Linked DNA regions of Lonchura striata. The main gene of each other region encodes a partner of the protein of the gene in region 2 in a complex. Links are inferred from orthologs where the notes say so. Each region holds a gene or a part of one and is shown on either strand. Other genes may lie near its edges.

The links. The genes of interacting proteins can lie anywhere in the genome.
Region 1: PRPF8 (region 2) and PRPF4 share a complex: the UniProt entries of both Homo sapiens proteins name them as parts of the U4/U6-U5 tri-snRNP complex. The link is inferred for Lonchura striata from reciprocal best matches to the Homo sapiens genes PRPF8 and PRPF4.

The regions. Positions count from the first base shown.
Region 1 is NC_134624.1:4,700,915-4,708,028, forward strand, and holds the start of PRPF4 (U4/U6 small nuclear ribonucleoprotein Prp4), read left to right. Parts: upstream 1-4,034; 5' UTR 4,035-4,202; coding exon 4,203-4,253; intron 4,254-4,881; coding exon 4,882-5,059; intron 5,060-5,340; coding exon 5,341-5,527; intron 5,528-6,068; coding exon 6,069-6,156; intron 6,157-6,879; coding exon 6,880-6,959; intron 6,960-7,114. Other genes in the region: anaphase-promoting complex subunit CDC26, read right to left, coding at 3,086-3,265, 3,332-3,412. UniProt on the Homo sapiens protein: Plays a role in pre-mRNA splicing as component of the U4/U6-U5 tri-snRNP complex that is involved in spliceosome assembly, and as component of the precatalytic spliceosome (spliceosome B complex).
Region 2 is NC_134622.1:6,932,144-6,939,496, reverse strand, and holds the start of PRPF8 (pre-mRNA-processing-splicing factor 8), read left to right. Parts: upstream 1-4,301; 5' UTR 4,302-4,371; intron 4,372-4,488; 5' UTR 4,489-4,498; coding exon 4,499-4,598; intron 4,599-4,671; coding exon 4,672-4,840; intron 4,841-5,547; coding exon 5,548-5,712; intron 5,713-5,793; coding exon 5,794-6,012; intron 6,013-6,645; coding exon 6,646-6,858; intron 6,859-6,972; coding exon 6,973-7,098; intron 7,099-7,176; coding exon 7,177-7,282; intron 7,283-7,353. Other genes in the region: TLCD2 (TLC domain-containing protein 2), read left to right, coding at 1,293-1,658. UniProt on the Homo sapiens protein: Plays a role in pre-mRNA splicing as core component of precatalytic, catalytic and postcatalytic spliceosomal complexes, both of the predominant U2-type spliceosome and the minor U12-type spliceosome.

The sequences.
Region 1 (7,114 bases), on a different chromosome or scaffold from region 2:
GAAGGGAGTTCTGTCTGTGACAGAACCTGCTGGTGCCCTTTCTGCACCTGTCACAAAGGTAAAACTCTGCTGTGCCTGCAGGCAATCATGGGAGGGGACAGCTGACCCTCCCCACCCCTGGAGAGCTGGGAGGATGTTAGTGTGGGCAGAGAAAATGAACAATCCCTTCCCACTCCTGCTGGAACTGAGAGGAAATCTGTCTGTCAGAGAGAACTAGAGCTGTTAAAAGCTGGAGATGGTGTTGATGTGGGAGGTTGGCACTGCAGGGCTTGACCCCTGCAGGAGCTCAGGGTGACACTGCCACTGCTGCCATTGGTTTTTCTGGAAGGGGGTGGAATTGTTGCCATCACAATCACAGGCTGGAGTGAGGAGCGGCTCTGTGGTGACACTGGTCACCTCATATACCTCTTGCTGTGTCTTTCTTTGGAACAGAAGCTGCTTGGCCTGATCTTGCTGTCACCTTTTAGCCACTTTTCTGTGTATCCAAGTGGCCAGACTTGAATTCTCTGGGGATGACTTGGAGATCAGGCTGTGGCTCATGCAGTGTCACTCTGGTTCTTGTTAAGCTTTTCTGTCTCATTCTGCTTGTACCACTTGTGCCCCTGGAATTGTTTCCCCCCAGAATGAGCTTCCCTTCTGCTCAGAGAGGGCACACAGCTTCTCCAGCGTGCACAGGGAGGGGACACTGCCCTGGCAGGGCTCACCTGGGCACGAGTCTCAGGTGCCCCAGCAGCTCCCACAGCCTGCACGAGGGGTGGTGAGGGCACCCTGGGCTCCCAGGGAAGGTGAGAGGGGAAGTGGCTGAGAGGAGCAGGCGAGGCCGTGTCCCCTGTGCTCCGAGCTCCTGGGGCACCGCTGGGGACGAGGCGTGTCCAGGCTGCTCCTCCTGCCGCGGCTGTGCAGTTCAGATTGTCCCCAGTTCAGTGTGACAGTCCAGAGCAGCCATCGACCGTCCCTGTCGCAGCGTCCCGCTGCCACCAGATGCCAGCACGGTGTGCTCCCAGCCGGGCTGTGCGTGCAGAGCCGGAGCAAAGCCTGAGCTCCCTGCGGGCGGGATCGGCAGCTCTGGGCAGCCCCAGCCCCGCTGCTGAATTTAGAGGTGTCCGGGTCGCACGGTGGGGGAGGGCTCGCAGGGCCGGTGTGGACAGACATGGACAGACATGCAGCATGCTGGGCTGTGCTGCCCTGCTCGGGGTGACATCCTGTGCCTGGCTCTGTGCCCCGTTTGCTCTGCACACGCTGAGCCTCCACATTCTCATCCACGAGGGAGCTCGGAGCATCCAGGCCCTGTCCCTCCGAGGGCTTTTGTTGCTTTTCTTTGAGTGCCTTTTGAGTTTGTCTGGAGCCAGTCCCACCACCCAGCAGGATTTCTAGTTTTGTTTACAGTGGACTGTCAGTTCTGTTTTTACTCTTGCTTTTTGTGGTGGTAACTTGTCTGATGTTACTGTGAATATCAAGAATCTCCTGTACATAATTAACCAATAAAATAGATGGCATTTTACTGTGCTGGGGGTGTGTTTTGGGAACGGTCTCAGGGCAGCCCTTGGAGGGAGCACAGGGCCCAGTGTTCCTGTTCAGGTGCTGTGGGGAGTGAGGAGCAGCATCCTCTGAGCCTCCCCAGCTCCCAGGAACTTGTCCTGAAGCTGCTGGAATGGGGTTCACTGAGAAGTCTTTGTTCCAGCTCAGTCGCACTTTGCAGGTGTGGGGAGGGATGGAAAGAGAAACTGGTGCCTCCCAGATCTGCCTGCCCTGGAGAAGAGTTTCAGGGAGATGTAAGAACCTCCTGAGGTGTTGTCCTCTCACAGCTGGGGCCTCTTGGGAATGCCAGCACAGCAGAGCAAGCCCTGATCATTGTTTGTGGTGTTAGACAGGAAAAGCAGCTCTTTTCTAGGCTGCTCTGGGGCTCTTCCCAGTTGGAAAAGTTTGAAGTTCTGTACATTTTCCCAGCCTGACCTGAAATTTGACGCACCTACAACACGGGAAGCGTGAATTTAACTGGAGTCCACTTTGGAGGAATGCTGAAAAACCAGACCTGGTCATTTTGCTGAAGATGGCAGGACACAGCCCTGGGCAGAGGCAGGGAGAGCCTCCAGCTCCTGCATTCCCTGCTGTGGCAGCCTGCCCTGCTCCTTCCCCAGGCTGCAGAGAGCAGTTTCCTGAGCACCAAGGAGCTGCTCAGGTTTTTATGTTGCTTCCTTCAGCTCACCCCACTGTGTGACTCCTGTCAAGTGTCCTCCACTGTCAGACTCCTCCTGAGTCTGACACCTTCCTCTCACTAAATCAGATCTGACCTCACCCTGCCCAGGCCCCTGCTGAGGAAATCCATGTGCCCTTGGCCTTTTCACAGAACACCACCAGCCATAAGGAACTGTTTGGTGGCCTTTGATCCAAGCAGCAAACAGCTCTGAGCTCCATTCCAAGGGCAGCTGGGGTGGCACCAAGCAGAGCTGGATGGAGGTGGAACAGGGAGGTGCAAAGGAAAAGCTGCTCAAACAGAAAATCTGGGCTATCATCCCACATCCATGTGCCCAGCCCACGGCAGGTCTGCAGCCACTCCCTGCTGAGGGCCCAGCTGTGACATGGATGGGGAAGCAGCTCTGGGATGCATTTGGGACCAGCTGATTGAACAGACCGGGAATTCTTTCCTGGTTCCCTCGAGAATGGACAGAGCAGTGCCTGGCACCCACAACTGTGGCACCTTTATCCCAAAACACTCATCAGACACCTCCAGGACCTTCTCCTCAGTGGGCCACCAGCGGGCAGGGCTGGAGGCTGAGGTGGCCACACTCCATTGTCTGGTTTAGATCAGCAGATCACTTTCCCGGAGGATCCTCCCGCAGAGTTTCATCCTCCTGCCCACAGGAGCAGGGAACGGGGTGCTCGAGCTGTTCCACCCCACCTGGGCACTGCAGCCCTTTACAGCAGCTCGTGGGATGATTATTCGTTTCTTTAAAAAAATACGTGTTTATTTAAAACAAAACACTCGGCAAGGGAGCGATCACGGCCATGTTAACCAAACATAAAATGCGAAAATGCAACAGCTCAGAGGGGGGCGGCGCGGCCCAGCGGGGCCGGGGCTGCCCCGTCAGAACTCGAAGGTGCCGAAGTGCGCGGCGCGGCCGCCGGCCTTGGGCTGCGGCTTGTACCCGATGCGCTCGTTGATGAGCTGCTCGCGGCTCTTGTGCTCCGTGCCCAGCGCTCCGATCGCCGCCGCCTCCTCGCCGCCCGCCGCCGCCTCCGCCTCGTCCCGCTGCTTCCTGCGGCTCTGCGGGCGAACGGCCGGTCAGGGCCGGGGGCGGGCCCAGCCCCCCGCGCCCGGCCCCGCGCGCACCTCCAGCTCCTTCCGCACGCTCTCGAACTCCTCGATGTCGTCCAGCTTCAGCTCCAGCCGCGTCGGCTTCCGACGGAGCATCGCGGCCAGAGGCGCCGCCACCCGCGGCGGCACCGAGCGCTCCGCCCTCAGCGGGCCGCCCGCCACAGCTCCCGGCGTGCCCCGCGCGGCCCGCCCTCAGCGGACACTTCATCTCCCGGCGTGCCCCGCGCGGCCCGCCCTCAGCGGGCACCGCCTCTCCCGGCGTGCCCCGCGCGGCCCGCCCTCAGCGGGCACCTCATCTCCCGGCGTGCCCCGCGCGGCCCGCCCTCAGCGGACACTTCATCTCCCGGCGTGCCCCGCGCGGCCCGCCCTCAGCGGGCACCGCCTCTCCCGGCGTGCCCCGCGCGGCCCGCCCTCAGCGGGCACCTCATCTCCCGGCGTGCCCCGCGCGGCCCGCCCTCAGCGGGCACCGCCTCTCCCGGCGTGCCCCGCGCGGCCCGCCCTCAGCGGGCACCGCGCCTCCCGGCGTGCCCCGCGCGGCCCGCCCTCAGCGGGCCGCCCGCCACAGCTCCCGGCGTGCCCCGCGCGGCCCGCCCTCAGCGGGCACCGCGCCTCCCGGCGTGCCCCGCGCGGCCCGCCCTCAGCGGGCCGCCCGCCACAGCTCCCGGCGTGCCCCGCGCGGCCCGCCCTCAGCGGGCGCCGCGCCTCCCGGCGTGCCCCGCGCGGCCCGCCCTCAGCGGGCGCCGCGCCTCCCGGCGTGCCCCGCGCGGCCCGGAAGTGGCCGTGAGGCGCTGGAGCCCGGCGCGGCGGGTCTCTCCCCGTTCCCTTCTCTGGTTCCCGCTCCCCTTCCGGGCTCTTTTCCGTTCCTGGGCTTGTTCCCGCTCCCGCCATGGCCGCCGCGCGGGCTCCGGCGGCGCGCGGTGCGGCCCGGCCCCCCGAGGTGAGTGTGCGGAGATGGGGGCGGCCCCGGGCCTGTTCCCCGCGCGGCCGCGGCGCCGGCGGTCGCGCCTGCTGCTGCTGTGTGGGATTTGCGGTGCTCCGGTGACACCGGAGCCGTTCAGGGGAGCCCAGGGCTCGGTGCTCTGCGTTCTCACCCGGTCCTGGCGCCTCCCCTGAGGAGCCGCTCGCTTTGGGCTGGGGCGCGGCACCGCTCCGGGCTGTGCCGGTGCAGGAGGACGAACAGCTCCGTGTTCCAAAGCTTTTCAAAACATACCTCTGCAGATAATAAATAAGAGGCACCCAACGCTGCCTGATGGCAGCATTTCAACGCGGCATTTTGCTCTTGTGCTTCGGCCTTCGGGCAAAAACCTCAAAGTCCGGCGGCTGCTCCGGCCCTGGCGGTGCCCAGGCCAGGCTGGACGGGGCTGGAGCAGCCTGGGGCCGTGAAGGTGTCCCTGGCACGGCAGGGTGGGATGGATGGGCTTCAGTTGCCTCCATCCCCAGCCGGCGTGGCACCGAGAGGCTGTATGTGTGCACAGTGCCCGTTCTCCTGGCACAGCCGGCTCTGGCACAGCCAGGCTGTTAGCTGCCCCCTGTCCCAACCCCTGCTCCTCTGGCTCTCCCTGCAGCCCCCCAAGGCCAAGCCCCCCGAGGAGGCCGAGGCTGCCCCGGCCAAGCGGGCGCCCATCTTCTACGGGAGCCTGGAGGAGAAGGAGCGGGAGCGCCTGGCCAAGGGCGAGGCGGGGCTGCTGGCCAAGGAGGCCATGAAGGCTGCCATGGAGGCTGGCAACATCAACATCAGCAGCGGTGAGGCTCTGCAGACACCCCTCGTCATCCCTGCCCGCAGAGGTGGCACTTGAAATGCCTCTGCTGGCTCTCTGGGCATCGCCTCACAGCAGTCAGGGTGGGAGGCTCCGTGCTTGGATCTCTCCAGGGGCTGAGGGAGGGGTGCAGCGTCCTTCTCTGGGGACATGCCACACCCTGCTGTGTCACCTGCTGCGGGTGGCCCCGCTGCGGGTGATGTGCAGAGCTCCCCGGCTGGCCCTGGCCGTGCTGCTGCGTGTGCTCAGGCTGTGTGTGTGTGCCAGGGGAGGTGTTTGACCTGGAGGACCACATGAGCGAGCGGCAGGCCGAGGTGCTGGCGGAGTTCGAGCGCCGCAAGCGCGCCCGGCAGATCAACGTGTCCACGGACGACTGCGAGGTCAAGGCCTGCCTGCGGGCCCTGGGCGAGCCCATCACGCTCTTCGGAGAGGGCCCCGCGGAGCGCAGGGAGAGGTGCTGTGTCTGCAGGGATGGCCACCCTGCAAATCCCTGAGCCCCTCCTGCCGTGCCACTGCTGTGCCACAGGGCAGCTGGCAGAGCTGGGGGTGTTCAGGCTGGGGAAGGGAAGGCTCCAGAGCCTGCCAGGGCATCAAGGGGCTCCAGGAGAGCTGGAGAGGGATTGGGGACAAGGGATGGAGGGACAGGACACAGGGAATGGCTCCCACTGCCAGAGGGCAGGGATGGATGGGATGTTGGGAATTGGGAATTGTTCCCTGGCAGGGTGGGCAGGCCCTGGCACAGGGTGCCCAGAGAAGCTGTGGCTGCCCCTGGATCCCTGGCAGTGCCCAAGGCCAGGTTGGATGGGGCTGAGAGCAGCCTGGGACAGTGGGAGGTGTCCCTGCCATGGCACTGGATGAGCTTTAAGGTCCCTCCCAGCCCAAACCAGTCTGGGATTTCTCTTGTAAGAACCCTAAGGCAGAAGGAATGTCACAGTGATGTTTGTCAGGTGAGCTGAGAATCCACTGGCTAAATCCAGCTTCATGACTCCTTCCAGGTTAAGGAACATCCTCTCAGTGGTCGGCACAGACGCGTTAAAAAAGACCCGGAAAGATGATGACAGGTCCAAAAAGTCCAAAGAAGAGGTAAGGGTGTCTCCTGTCCCCTGACAGAAGGGAGGGATGTTATATCCATCTCTGATATATCCTGCACTCCTGGCTTTGGCCAGCCTGGGAATTCTCATGGTATCCCTTCAGGCTTTTTCCATGTTGCCCATTACACCAAATCCATGGCAATGGTTGGTCTCAGTGAGGAGCACCAAGTGTGGGTTTTACTCAGACTCTGCTCTGTGCTGCATTCACTGTGCAAACCAGGAGAGCAGTGTGTGGGCTCTTACCTACTGTAGCAAGTCCCTTACTTTCCTTCACACTTGGGAAGAAAAAAAAAATGTTCCTTCTGCTGCATCTGTTTCTGCCTTTGATTGCTCTTTCTGCTTGTGTCTCCTGAGTCTCTTTTACCTTATTATTTTTGAGCTTTACTGTAAGAAATAATTTCTGCAGCTCTGGGCTTTCTCTTTAGTGGGTGATGTGTAAACAAGGAGGGAGTTACATGTCTGTAAATGCAGATGGGTCAGGGTTCAGCTGGAACATTGAGAGAAGTGGCAGCATGGCAGGATTGGATCTGTAGGGCAGAGAGTTTGATTTATCTCTCCAAATCCCTTTTCCTGGGGCTCAGTTGTGTAGAAGGCCCTTAAAAAGAGGCCAGAGCACAGCAGGGTTTGGGGGCAGGTGCTGGGAGGAGCTGAAGGGAATGAATGCAGGGGCAGCAGCACCAGGGCTTTTCCATTCCTTTTATTCCTGTTTTTACAGTATCAGCAAACGTGGTACCACGAGGGCCCTCGCAGTCTGAAAACAGCCAGGCTGTGGCTGGCCAACTACTCACTCCCCAGGTGAGAGAAAACAGAAAACATTTGTCAAATCCAAGTGCAAATCCCACTGTGGGCAGCACGGGAAATCCAGGGAGTAGGGAGGGAGGTCCAGTGAGCCCAGAGCTTGAGCTCTCAGGGACTGATCCAGAGAAGAGCAGGGAAAAGGCACTTCCAGC
Region 2 (7,353 bases):
CTGTTTGTTCTTGCCAAGGCATCCCGATTATCAAATATCTTATGCTAATCATGTCCAAAGTCCATTGCCTGTCTCGTGTGTCCCAATAGAGTAGGAAAAAAACATGTGTACAGAGTGTGGGCTGATCCACAACAGTGTCACTGACAGCAGTGACCCCGCTGTCCCCTCTGGCAAAGGTGAGCAGCTCACCTCCTGTGGCTTTTGCCCTCTTGAGCACCTGCCAGCAAGGGCTGCACACCCCTTCATCCACCTCCCCTGCCCAGGGTGCTTTCCTCCCACCTGGGGCTACTGTGGCTGGAGCAGCTGTGCTGCAGGAGCCCCACTTCAGTGCCCTCTGCCTGTCTTGCTGTGCCCTGTGTGGGTTTCTCTCTGGTCACCTCTGCTGTCCACGTGCCAGAGTGTTTTTCCCAACCGAAACAATTCCGTGGTGCTGAGACTGTGGATGCTGCAGGGCAGGGGGGTGGCACGGCCTGGAGCTGAGCTCCATGAGATGCTGCAGGGTTCAGGGGAGGCTCAGGGGTGTGCAGGGCCTGGGGATGGGGACAGGGACAGTGCTGGCACTCACCTGAGATGAGACTGGGTAGTCAAACCTCTCTGTCAGTGAGCCCTGGGGCTCTGCTGGCTGCTGCTGGTGAGCCAAAAGTTCACCTCCACAATGGAGCTAATTCAAGCCAAGACAGTGATTTAACGAGCCGATAATCTCATTACAGAGCCCATACAGAGAACAGCACTAATGGCATAAACCAAAGAAAGGACTGAGTGTGCTGAAGCGTGGGCAGGCCAGCCTGTCCCCCTGCCTGGCAGGGAGGGTGCGGGGCAGGAATCCTGTCCCAAACAGCCCCAGGGTGCTTCAGGGGGCTCTCTGATACACCAAAGCCACCTAATCCCTGCAGGGTGCCTGTCCTGGGGACAATCCCTGAGCCAGCAGTGGCGTAGCCCTGGGCTACAGTCTCCCTTCCTGTCCGTTCACTGTGTGTGGAAAAACCTGCTGAGCCACAACAACGTTCTCCAGGCCACAACAGCAGGGTTAGGTCAGGCTGCTTTGTCTCCTCAGCCAGCCTGGGGCTTAAAGAGCTGCTTCCTTCTCTTCTCACTGCAACAAAAAAACCCCACTCAGGTTTCATGCAACGGTGAGGGAAGTGCCAGAGGCTGCAATGCTGCAGGGGTGGCCCGTGGTTTGATGATCCTTTCCACCTCAGCTCCTTGCTGTGCCCTAGTGTGGAGGGTTCCAGCTTGCAGCAGCTGAGAGCAACCAGCCCCTGGGCTCAGCCTCTCTTCTCCCTCCTTCCCAGGTGATCATCTGCTTTGGGATTGCCGTGCTGCTCCACCAGTACGTCGGCTTTGCCCTCGTGGCTTTACTGGTGGAGATCAACTCCATCTTCCTCCACCTGCGGCAGATCATGCTCATGGCCAACCTGGTGCACACCACCTGCTACCGCCTCAACAGCCTCATCAACTTGGGCACCTACGTGGTGTTCCGCATCGCCACGCTGGCCTGGATGAGCCGCTGGCTCTTCCTCAACCGGCAGAACGTGCCCCCGGCCACCTACGCCGTGGGCACGGTGGGCATGGCAATCATGACGCCCATGAACGTCATCCTCTTCTACCGCCTGCTGCGGAGTGACTTCCTCAAATCCAGGAGGGAGAAGGAGGAATAGGCCCTCCCCTGAGAAGGGGCACTTCCAAACCCGTGGAAGCACGTGGAGGGTGAATGTTTTGGTACCTCGCAGGGAGGGGCTGCACTAACAGAGCATCCAGGCTTTGCTTGTGGCTCAAGAGCCTGGGCCCTGCACAGCAGAGGAGGTGCTCGTGGACCAGGCACGGTGGCTCTGCTCCCCAGACGCTTTTGGATGATGTGGTTGGACAAGCGGGAGCTGCTGAGAGAAGCCTCGACAGCTCTCACAGCTCCCTGAGGCACCACTGAGATGAGACGGGGGCAGAGCAGCACTGTTTCCCCACTGCTCTTCCAGACATCCCAACACCACCGAGTGTTTCCAACCCCTTTGGTGCTGCAGCGTCCCATCAGCCACGGGACACTGAGTTCTCCGTGCCATCTCCTGTGGGAACACCACCAGCAAGACAGGTTCCAAGGCTTTGCCTTCAAGGTGATGGTCAGTAAAAAACAAACCTTGCACTGATGAGCCCTCCCTGAGGAGATTTCCCAGGCTGAGACCTGGCTGGGTGGCAGCTGCCCACTGTGGGGGCAGCCCCAACCTCTCCTGGCAACTGGAGCTTTTCCATCATGTTTTGTCCCCAGATAATTCAAGTGCCCATAAATGAGCGTGGGAGAGCACGAGTGGCTGGAAGGAGGATGCTGTGTGATGGTCACTTCTCACACATGAGGGGTTTTCAGGCACTTTTTAAGATTCAGGCATCTGTTAGGAGTGCCAAGTTGTGCTGCAGAGCCCGGGGTAATGCTCTCACTTGACAGCAAAGGCTCTTACTAACATGAGCTTTTAATAAATGGCTGCAAATGAAGTGGCTTGAGGGGAAAGGACTGAGAGGGGACACGAGGACTCATCATCCCAGCCCAATCTGGGGGTGTCACTGCTTAGCCCAGTCCTTACCCCCAGTCTCCCTGCCATGGAGTGAAAATACACTGTACACTGGCACACTCTACCTCTCTTGTTGGGTTTTTTCCCCACCCCTCTCCTTTCTGTGGAGGAAAATGAAGGTTTTTAAACATTCTTCCACTCCACATTTCCTCACTGATTCTCACACTGGACTGTTCCCCAGCAGCCCAGCACTGTGTATATAACAGGATCATCCTACTTGGAGTTAAGGTGAAGCAGTCTGGAGAAATCCACCGGCTCAGTCACCTTTTCTTTTGTGTGGCGGATAAGCTTTAACACAAAATCTCTCCCTTGGTTTGAAGACCCTGGGGACAGGCTGGAGCAAGGCACTGCTCGGAGAGGGTGGCACATGTTTTGAGGACAGAGACAGGGAAAGATGAGGGATCCATGGGCAGTGTGAGGCTGGAGGCTAAAGCCGCTTACGTTTCTATTTGTGGAGGGCAGGGAAGCTTCCAGGTGCTGGGCACAATTACTCCAGGTTTGGGTACGTAACCTCAAGCAGTGCTGAGGCACCTGTGTGCCACTCACAGCTCCCAGCTGGAGCAAAACTGTCACCCAAGGCTTTCTCTTTGCTTTGACCCACGTATTCCGAATTTTCCAGGAGCTGCTGCACAGGTAACAACGCTGCCTCTGCTCTCCAGCCCACAGTCGGGAGGCTTCTCAAGGCCTGGATTGTGTTCCCACATTCCTGCCGTCACATGGATGTGGGGCTGGGGGCCAGGGCAGCCTGGTTTGGGCACCTCTTAATCCACCGTGGTTTTCCCACAGGGCTAAGGGGGAAAAAGCAGCGGCTTTGCAGGTCACCCAGGTCGGACGTGGGGATGCCCTGTGCCTGCCCATCCCGATGGGAAGTGCCAGAGCTTCGCTTTGAAAGGTTTTGGGAAGGACTCACCACTCTGTTCCCACCGTATAGGGGTGGGAATACCACCACCACGGGGTTAGAAGGAGCATCTCCATCAGGGAATTAATTGCTGGGGAGTAACACCCCGGCTTGCCACCCAATCACCCCCCGAACAAACCCCTCTCCCCATGGGAGCTTCCACCCTGGCAAAACCCTGAGGCAAGAGCTCGCCTGGCTGCTGAGGGGCCCTGAGAACACATTGAACCCACCCACAGTGAGCTGCTGGGCAAACACTGAGGGTCGGGGGCCATCTGTGTTCCTGTGGAGAGGCAGGAAGGGGACAACGAGTGGGTGGCTGCTTGCTGGGGCCATGGTGTAGCCATGGGGGCAGTGCATCACTGGGGAGCGGCATCCCCCTGCCTGCCTGGGGCACGGGGGCGTGACTGAGACGGGCTCAGCCGAACTGAGGGGATGTCCAGGCCCCGTGGGGGATGTCCCCACGCAGCTCCACCGCGGACATCACCGGGATGTGTCCGAAATGTCCAAAATGTCGCCCTGAGGGCGCCCCCCGCCCCTACCATCACTGGCGGGGGGGGGGCACGACCCGGCCAGGGGCGCCCCCTAAAGCAGCGCGGAGTGAGCTACGCCAGGCGCTGTCCAATCAGAGGCGCTGCCGCGCTGTCTCCGCCAATCGGAAGCAGCGAAGGGCGGGACCGGGGAAAGCGGGACACCACAACGGAAATGTGCGCCAGACACCGCTTGCTCCCCTCTTCCGCCCTCAGTGCCTCCCCCGCCGCTCCGCGCTCTGATAGGATAAACCTGCTGTCTGTCAGATCTCCTAAAAATTGACTGGCTGTTCCGCGCCGCGAGTCCCGCCCACATCCGGGTCTCGCAGGCGCGGTGGCGGCGGCGCGGGGCCGCCATTGTGGTGGGGGAGCGCGGGGGTCGCGGCTGCCGGTGAGGGCAGCGGAGCGGCGGGCCCGGGGTGCGCGGGAGCGGCGGGGGAGCGACCGGCGGCGGCCCCGTCGTGGTCCCGTACCTCGCACTGAGCCCCTCTCCATCTTCTCTGCGCAGTTGCGTCGCCATGGCCGCCGTGTTCCCGTACCGCGGCGGCTGCGCCCCGGTGCCCAACCCGCTGGCGCCGCTGCCCGACTACATGTCCGAGGAGAAGCTGCAGGAGAAAGGTGGGTACGGCCCCGGCGGCCCAGAGCCTCCGCGGGGGACAGGGCCTGAGCCGCCGCCTCTGTGTCCCCGCAGCCCGCAAGTGGCAGCAGCTGCAGGCCAAGCGCTACGCGGAGAAGAGGAAATTCGGCTTCGTGGATGCGCAGAAGGAGGACATGCCCCCCGAGCATGTCCGCAAAATCATCCGCGACCACGGCGACATGACCAATAGGAAGTTCCGTCACGACAAGCGAGTCTACCTGGGGTAAGGGACCCCCGGTGTGGGGCACAGGGGGATCTGCTGCTGCCCTGGAGGGAGAGATCCTTCTCCAAAAGGCTTTTTGTGAACATTGTAACTCAGTGAGGATGCCCTGAGGTGTCAGTGCAGAAGAGGATCAGCAAAAGGAGTTGTTGCCTTGAGTTTATGAGAAAAAACATTAGCCTGGATAATGCATCATTGAAGGGGAAGCCCCTTCTCCAAAAGGCTTTTCAGCTTTTCAGTTGTAGCTCAATCTGTTGCTGTGAGGTATCAGTGCAAAGGAGCGTCAGCAAAGGGAATTGTTGCTCTGAATTTATGAGAAAAAACATGACCCTGCATAACTGAGTGTCTTAGAAGGAGTTGGGGAGAGTGTGGAATGTTTTTTTAAAGATTAAAAAGCATCCTGAGTGCTGTTTGGGGGTAGAGAGCTGTCTAGTGCACATCATGGTCTGCTGCAATAAGTTACAATTACCTAAAAAACTCTATGAACTAACTTAAAAACTTCAGTTTCTGTTAGCAACATTCTTGAAAGCCAAATCACTAAAAAACCTTTTGATAATCCAAAGGTAGAGTGGGAGATCCATGGATTTGCTTTTTGAACAGGTCAGATGAGCAGTTCCTAGGGAAAACTGGGAGGTTGTTGGGCTCGTGGCAGGTGGTTGGCTGTCCTTGAGAGCCACTCCAGCGTGGTTTTCCCTGGTTTGTGGTTGCAGTGCTCTGAAGTACATGCCCCATGCTGTACTGAAGCTCCTGGAGAACATGCCCATGCCCTGGGAGCAGATCCGGGACGTTCCCGTCCTGTACCACATCACGGGCGCCATCTCCTTTGTCAACGAGATCCCCTGGGTCATCGAACCTGTCTACATTGCCCAGTGGGGGTAGGTGCCTTCTGCTTCTTTCACCTTTTTGCACCCACCATAAAATCCCCCTGCTTTTAACCTACCCCTGATTTCCTGCAGCTCCATGTGGATTATGATGAGGCGGGAGAAGAGGGACAGGCGCCACTTCAAGAGGATGAGATTCCCCCCGTTTGACGATGAAGAACCCCCTCTGGATTATGCTGATAACATCCTGGATGTGGAGCCCCTGGAAGCCATTCAGCTGGAGCTGGATCCAGAGGAGGATGCCCCTGTGCTGGACTGGTTCTATGACCACCAGCCTCTGAAGGACAACAGGAAGTAAGTGGCTGTGGAGGGGGAGAAAAACAAAAAACAAACAGTGCATGAATGACGTGCACAGAGCAGTGTGTAACCTTTGTGTGATGTTGGTGAGGAGAGAAAAACCTTCCCTCAAGGATGGGAGGGAAAAGCTGAGTGTTGGAAAGCTGCATCTTTTGCCTGCAGGTTGCTCAGAAGTCCAAAGCCAGGTTGGGTGGGGCTCCGAGCAGCCTGGGATGGTGGAAGGCTTGGAAAAAGATGAGGTTTAAGGTTCCTTCCAAGCAAAACCAAATCCATTCTGGGATTCTATGGTTCAGGATCCAGCAAGGCTCCTCTATCCAGGAGGCCTGTTACCCACTTACTTCCTAAAACTGGTGTTTCTGACCATGTTGTAAAGCTGACAGCCTGCATTGTGTAGCTGGAATTTGGAATTTGCTAAAGGTGCCCAGATGTTCTGTGTCACTTGAGACACAGGAGAAGAGGAACTGGAGCAGCCAGCATTTTCTGGGCAGGAGGAGTCTAGAGTGGTCTTTAATAGTGCTGCAGCCTTTTTTTCAGGCTAGAGACACGCAGATATCTGTTCTTGATGAAGGATGGGTGGCAGAAGGTGTTTGGTTATTCTGTGTGTGGAGTGTCCATGCTCTGCTTTCCCAGGTACGTCAACGGCTCCACGTACCAGCGCTGGCAGTTCACCCTCCCCATGATGTCCACACTGTACCGCCTGGCCAACCAGCTGCTCACTGACCTGGTGGATGACAACTACTTCTACCTGTTTGACCTGAAAGCCTTCTTCACCTCCAAGGCACTGAACATGGCCATTCCTGGAGGTCCCAAGTTTGAGCCCCTCGTCAGGGACATCAATCTTCAGTAAGTGTTGGTTTTGGGAGAGAGATGAGTGGTTGTCTAGGAGAGGGCTGATGGGGTGTTTTCTGTCTCTCTCACCCTGAATGCCTGCATAACAGTTTCTTGTCTCGTTTTAAGGGATGAAGACTGGAATGAATTTAATGACATCAACAAAATCATCATCAGGCAGCCTATCAGGACAGAGTACAAAATTGCTTTCCCCTACCTGTACAACAACCTGCCCCACCATGTCCACCTCACCTGGTAAGAGCAGCAGCCTCCAGAGCCAGGAGAGGAGGGAAAGGCTGTCAGAGGTTCTAATGCATATTTATTTTTTTGCAGGTATCATACTCCAAATGTTGTTTTCATTAAAACAGAAGATCCTGACCTCCCAGCTTTTTACTTTGATCCTCTGATCAACCCCATTTCACACAGACATTCTGTCAAGGTGAGTCACTGGGTTAACTGTGATAAACCCTATGAGTGGAAGTAGGGGCCTTTAGTATCTTCTGATAGCAG